2 linked regions of the Tribolium castaneum genome follow. The protein of the gene in region 2 interacts with the protein of the main gene of each other region in a pairwise test. Links are inferred from orthologs where the notes say so. Each region holds a gene or a part of one and is shown on either strand. Other genes may lie near its edges.

The links.
Region 1: the proteins of Rchy1 (region 2) and androgen-induced gene 1 protein interact in binary tests that used the Homo sapiens proteins (3 or more experiments, as listed by UniProt). The link is inferred for Tribolium castaneum from reciprocal best matches to the Homo sapiens genes RCHY1 and AIG1.

The regions. Positions count from the first base shown.
Region 1 is NC_087399.1:6,621,986-6,625,305, forward strand, and holds androgen-induced gene 1 protein, read right to left. Parts: upstream 1,666-3,320; 5' UTR 1,537-1,665; coding exon 1,378-1,536; intron 1,332-1,377; coding exon 1,227-1,331; intron 1,180-1,226; coding exon 739-1,179; 3' UTR 501-738; downstream 1-500. UniProt on the Homo sapiens protein: Hydrolyzes bioactive fatty-acid esters of hydroxy-fatty acids (FAHFAs), but not other major classes of lipids. Show a preference for FAHFAs with branching distal from the carboxylate head group of the lipids.
Region 2 is NC_087396.1:15,621,077-15,624,799, reverse strand, and holds Rchy1 (RING finger and CHY zinc finger domain-containing protein 1), read left to right. Parts: upstream 1-1,320; 5' UTR 1,321-1,489; coding exon 1,490-1,588; intron 1,589-1,690; coding exon 1,691-1,852; intron 1,853-1,900; coding exon 1,901-2,056; intron 2,057-2,168; coding exon 2,169-2,447; intron 2,448-2,494; coding exon 2,495-2,588; intron 2,589-2,633; coding exon 2,634-2,728; 3' UTR 2,729-3,136; downstream 3,137-3,723. Other genes in the region: Not10 (CCR4-NOT transcription complex subunit 10), read right to left, coding at 1-338, 388-529, 585-741, 791-882. UniProt on the Homo sapiens protein: E3 ubiquitin-protein ligase that mediates ubiquitination of target proteins, including p53/TP53, TP73, HDAC1 and CDKN1B. Mediates ubiquitination and degradation of p53/TP53; preferentially acts on tetrameric p53/TP53.

The sequences.
Region 1 (3,320 bases), on a different chromosome or scaffold from region 2:
CACAGCAAATTGAAACAAACATTACTTTTCTCATCCATGATTTAATTATGAAAGTTATCTAATCCATATTCTCACACAAATAGAAAGTTGCTATACAAGACGATAAGATGTAAACCAAAAAAGTAGGTGAATTTTATAACAATTATGTAAACACTAGTCCAAGGTAACATTTAATTTATGCAGCTTTTTGACCAATTATTTTACATTGTGATTACTTGCAACTTTTTATTAACATGACGCCCTTGAACAATTAGTGTACGGTTGGTTGCCTGTCCCACTCATTTTTATGCAAGTTTACAGTAATTTGCACTTAAAATTTTTAATTGCACATTACACGCCACATTCAAACAGTAATTACTGATTGCAATTCATTTCTATTATTATTTGTTTGACTGGGATCATTTAACAACAATAATCGTATTATTGGTTGCATAACCACGAATTGTATGTGTTTATTTTTCAATGTTTATTTATTTATTTTCATTGGAATAAAACTACGGTTTACTATTACTAGCTTTATTGTTTCCTAGTTTACTACATTTAATGGAATTTATTAAAATATTAGAAAGGAATTTATTGCCAAATTTCCTCAGGCACAATCTAACACAATTGAATTTTTTAAAGTGTATGACCACTCACGATATAAATTAAGCCACGATTTACAAAATCACATAAAAACCCAACAGTGCAGACTATCACAATTTATATAAATGCACTTCAACTACGCTAAATTATCGCCTAATTTGAACGCTTCTTCAAACTGTGCTTCTTCTGGCTCCACACAATCCCGTTCAACTTTTCACCCACAATATACAGGCTCACAGACAAGCCCAACAAGCCTATGAAAAACACGATCCTCAGCGGCAGGTTCAGGACCTCCAGAATGGGGTACACCCACATCCCCGAATAGGCATGAATGATGTGAATCCACACCAAGTAAACCAACATGAACAGACTCAAAATCGTGAGCCCAACTTTCCTAGCTGGGTACTTCCTATAAGATGTGAACAGTTCGATTAGGATGAAAATCATTATGTTGGTGTGCATGACGTGGTTGAGCCACGCGGGGAAGAACTGGTCCAGCGCCCGCGGGAAAATCAGCTCGCGGTCGACGAAGTAAATCCCCCAGAAAGTCAGGCCTACAAACATTGACAACGGAAACGCCAAACAGGGCAAAATCTACAAAATCATGTTACAGTGCGGTAAGCAGTGACAGTGTTACCAACCAAGTCTTTGACTCTCCGGATGAGTGGCGCTTTCTTGGGGGCCTCCTCGTTGGTCCCCACAAGGTCATTGATGACACAGATGGTGAAGAAGAGGGCTTGGAGGAGCTGCAAAAAGAGGTTTTTACCAGTTTTTGGCCCAGCCTTGACTAACCGCGTCCCAGTAGGTTAAAAACTTCAATTTTCCGCTTTTACCGAACGAGTCCCCCATGCGGTGGACCTCTGTCGGGATTTGAACATAATTCCAGTCGTAATAGCAACCGAACCAGAAATGAACCGCTGCGAGACCATGACACAAAGTTCTCACACCCATTTTACCATTACCTAGCTTCAAATGACATGCCACTCGCTCGGAAAAGCCTTAAAGACTTTCTATGGGGGCAAAGGTTAGCGACTATGGACAGGACGCGATCGCGGATTTGACCCACACAATTAAATTCACCCGACGCGAGACAAGCACTTGCACCCCTCCCTGTTTTACAAATTGATTAAACGGTGCTTGAAGCTGTTTGATTGTTGATTGAGTGCGTGATTGAGTGTGGTTGGGATTAGGGTAGGACGCGATCTGTGATTTTGGCCGAGGCGGTTTGAATTTTTTGGCGCGAACTTACCATGTTCCAAATGGTGAGAAATTTCAGCCGACCTTTGAAGAATTTCATGTCGTTCTTGTGCTGCATTTGGGGGATATCCACGTAGGTGAGGTCGTACCAGAAGGCGAGGATGTACACCCCCAGGGTGAGGCAATGGAAGGGAAAAACGAGGGACATGATGAGGCACTTTCACGTTAATGACGATAGTAGATAAGAGTTATCGCATAGAAGCACACACAAGCACTTGTTGAACTGAATTAGACATTGTTAAGTTTATTTCCGCACGTTTGGTCCTCTCAGATTGGGAATTATGTAATTGGCCGGTTTGAGAGGATTTGAAGGGGGAGTCGGGAGAAATAATTATTATTTGTACGATTGTTGGCAATAAAACGAAATTGGAAACACGAATCGGACAGGTTTATCATTGATAGCACTCCAACGCACTTGTGGGTTATGGAAATGTGGATTTGTTTTCTATTTTTTTTTTTAAGAAAGTAACTTCGTAATACCCACAACTACAACTTATCATTAAAATATACAAATGCATGTTGAAAGCGTATCATACATAATTAGGCAAATTATGCGTAAAAAACATGATAAAAAGTTTTGTTGAGTAAGTTTTTAGTACCTACAGAATGGTCCACGAGTAATAATGAGCCTGAAATTTTTTTGAAGCAACCAACATTACATTTCATAGATTACGTGGATAGTAAATTTGGTTTCAATTAATCAAACCTAGTATTATTATTATTATTATTATTATTATTATTATTGTTATTATTATTAAAATTATTAATGTTATTATTACTACTATTATTATTATAATAATAATAATAATTATTATTATTATTATTATTATTAATTTCTAAAAACTTTTAGTTAACTGAGTTTGTTTAGTAAAGTCCCGAAAAACATTGTTAATAAAAATCATGGCCACTGCGAATCCGGTAGGATTTGCGCACGTCCACTATTTTTGACTAGAAAATACACAAATTTGGTGATTTTTTGGAAAATTATGTCCATTTTCGGTCAAAGAAACATGCTGAAAGTCACAGGAAAGGTAAAAACAATTTTAAAATTGTAGAATCAACTTATACGTCCGGTATTTTTTGATGAAATTTAGTGAAAAATTAGAGAATTAAATTGAAAAATTACAAAATTAGTTCTAAATTAATGATACTTTATTAATTTTTTGATGCGATTTAGTTCGTTTTGCAATTGTTATTTCGATTTTTGAAGCTTTTAAACTTGGTTTGTGACATTTTGCTTCAACAACCTTTAAATATCTCTAAATTAACTTGATAGCTCCATTAATTGGTTTTATCTGGTGTTTTAGCATTGTTTTTATTTAGCCAGAAACATAAATATTGCGCAAAATTTTGTTTAAAAACAGTTCCAAAATTTCCCAAATTATTTGTGCTTTTTTAAAGCCTTTTTAAGCTTAAAACCCAGCTGCAAATCATTCCCCAGATTATGAGAGATTGTTTTAGCTTGTTTCGCTCGATTT
Region 2 (3,723 bases):
TTCTAAATTAGCTGCCAGGAACAAGGCTTGGAAATTCTGTTTGTCTTTTAGCAAATTGCTGATTTCTTTGTTTGCGATTTCGAGATTGTGGTTCATTAGGTAACAACGGATTTTGTATTTAATTAGTTTTTTCTTAAACTCTTCCATTGCTGGGTCTAGGGGCTGTGGCGCTTTCTTGTCTTTCTCTTTAACGGTTTTGTCCAACAATTTGATGTTTGGCGTCCCGTTGATTAATTGATTTTCCAGATAATTTATTAAACTGAGCGCTTTATCAGACTGACGCACACATAGCTGTAACTCAATGGCAAAAAGACTAACTTGTTTGGCTAATGCGTCATCTGTAACAAAGTAAATTAAAAACAAACAGTCACGTTGGAAAAATTGTACCCATTGGTTCAATAAATTTGTACACTCGATCCATTATGTAAATTGCATTAGTGTACTGTTGTTGATGATATAACAGAATGGCCTGATTATAATGAACAATGCATTGGTCCACATCATCTAATTTATCGAGACGAATCTTAAACTAAAAGTTAATGAGCCTTATTAAAAGATTCCCACCAGGAGGACGACTGTAATACTTGATTGCAAATTGAGGTTAAATTCTTTTGAAATGTTTCGTTCTTCCTAAAATCGCTTTTGCAATATTCCACAAGAGCTTTATTGTGGGCCACTTTAAAATCGTTAGTTCTATTGTCCAGTTTATTGATAAATTGGAGCGCACCGGCGTAATTATTTCTACAAAAGGGTCAATAGTTTTCGTTTTTTTTGGAAGCCTTAAACATACTTTTTAAACTCATTCAAAGCCTTTTGTGCATATTCCTGCTCCTGCTCTGTTACAACGTCCACAGCTCGTTCAAACTCTTCTTTCTCAGCCATTGTATTTATTGGATTTTTTGCAAACACAGGCACTACTTTTTTATTCACAAGCTTTCTATAAGTGAGGTTATGTAACAATAAACCCGACTTTCACTACTGTAAAAAACCTACGGATCGTAAAATTTACGTTAATGGAAGTTTAAGTTCGTTGTTATATTTCTGTGAAATAATTCAAATCTTTAGTTCCAAAAAATTTTCGAAAAAAAATTTTTTGACAGGTCAGTGGCGACTCGTGAAGTCCAAGATTTAAATTTTGAATACACGAAAATACCACAGAAAAAATTTGATCGTTTTTCGGCTTTAAATGTCGTCTGAATTATTTGATCATCAATGAGTGTAAACTTTGCAAGAAATTTGAAAAAATCCTGTAAAAATTCATACAAGTTGGCCAACCGAATGTGATTTGCTAGTAACAATTCTAGTGTTTTTTTCTCCCTGAATGAAATTGACATTTGGGAGGCAATCCGTGTTGCCTACCCGTTTATTTATTTAGTTCAAGATCGCCTCTAATTTATTCCGTATGCTGTCGTATTTCTAAAATTAGTGCCAGAAACAGATTTTCTCGAATTGCACAGTCATACGGCGGCGTTTAATCAAATCCCGGCGGATGATGGAAGGGGCAGCTACTCCGGTCGCTGAGGGGCCACCCGAAGAGGCAATTAAGCCAATTGGCTGCTCCCATTACAAAAGAAAATCCAAATTCGTGGTGAGTTTTTGCTAGAACAGACCGTCCGGCCAATGTTGTTTATTGAGTTTAATTGAATTAGCGCCAATTATTGACTCAATCACGTCGTGTTTTCTTTTCAAGACTCCGTGCTGCAAGAAAGTGTACACTTGTCGGTTCTGTCACGACGAAAAGGAGGATCACTCAGTGAACAGGAAAGAAGTCACGGAGTTAATCTGCACGATATGCGAGAAAAGGCAGCCTGTTCAAGCAGAGTGTCAGAACTGTGGCATCAGATTTGGCAAAGTAAGTCCGTGGGAAATGATTCTGATGCAATTTAAGCGCCTGTTTCAGTACACTTGCTTGGAGTGCAATCTTTTCGACGATGAAGACAAGAACCAGTTCCATTGCTCTGGCTGTGGCATTTGCAGGATTGGGGGCTCGGACAAATTTTTCCATTGCGAGAAATGCAACATGTGCCTGCCAATCCAGCTCAAAAACGGGCATAAAGTAAGGGTGAAAAATATCAAACTCATGTAAACACCATTCCAAAATTAAACGCTGCGCATGCGTGTGTAGACTAGATTTCAGCCGTGTAAGACATCCGAACTTGTTTTTGCAGTGTGTGGAGAACGTATCGCGCGCCAATTGTCCTGTCTGTCTTGAGGACATCCATACTTCCAGAATTCCATGCCATATTCCAATGTGTGGCCATTTGTTACACCGCACTTGTTTCAACCAATTACTCAAAGCGGGACATTATGCTTGTCCCATATGTCAGACGTCCCTTATGGATATGACCCAGTTGTGGAAGTATCTTGATAATGAAGTTGCTCATACGCCAATGCCGCCACAGTATAACTGTTATTTAGTGCAAATTTTATGCAAGGATTGTCATAAGGTGATATGGTAAAATTGTATGGCTTGTTGTAACTTTGACTCATTTAGGAAGGAACTGTAAAGTTTCACGTGATTGGTTGCAAGTGTATTCATTGCGGTTCTTACAATACTTGTCGGATTAAGGGGCCGTTTAAGCCGTCAGGTTGGTATTAAAGTTTTTGAAAAAAAAATGTAATGTTGGTTGTAGGGAGGAATAGGCAAAACAGTTCAAGTCAAGCACAGTCTCTTCAGTATGAAAACGACGATGACGGTCCATCTAGCTCAAGTGCTCAAGAATCATGAAATTATTATCATTAGACGTCGATTCCATTACCATTAATTAAGTCAATTCGGCAGGTTACAACGTATTCTTCGCATTTCATATTTAATTATATTATCAAATAGTACTATTAGATGAACGTCCCTACCAATACCCTGAATATTAGTATGTATATATAAGTTGTACATAGTGTACAAGTTTGTGTGATTTTATTTTTATATGATCATTTACAAATATTCAATCTGTTGATGTTATTGATGTTTTAAACAATAAATAGATCTCCTATTGATTGGTTATTGTTAAATTGGTTTAGGTTAGTTATATGCGATTGAACAAATTATTTGTATCATAGGGAGCAGGTGGGTGGATGACCTAGGCTGAAACCCATTTCAATTTTAGTATTGAAACGAAACAATAAAAAGTCAGCGAAATGTTTGTTGTTTTATTAATGGGATTACCTTCCTTTTCATTTTTATGCCTTAAAAAACCGTACCCAAAAGACTCATGGGCTTCGAAAATTGCTCGAATTGATTCAAGAAAAAACTATCAAAAAAAAAAATTGGCGCTTCGTCTCATACAAAAACTAAATACTTGAGCATGTGATTTTTTCTACAATTCCTTGTAATTAAATAATGTTAAGTTGGTGCAAAAAAATACATAAAATATGTTTTGAAATGACACCAGAAATCATAAAACTTCGATTACTTAATTAATATTTTGATATTTTCAATCTTATTAATATTTATATTTTAAATTAATTTATATTATTTATTATAAGGACTGCATAGAGAAAAAATAAACTTGGATTTAATAGCAAACGATGATTTCCGTACGACTATAAGTTTTTGAAATATAGTAAAAAAGATTTTTAACAAACTCACCTTCTATTTTTCAGAAATGGTGCCAATACAGTTAAAGAAAAGTACGAAATTAAAATTACAGCAGAAAATTAAATTTCCCACTAAAAAGTCAGTGGGGCCATAATATTCAGGATTAACTTGACCGCCCCTGGCGGTAG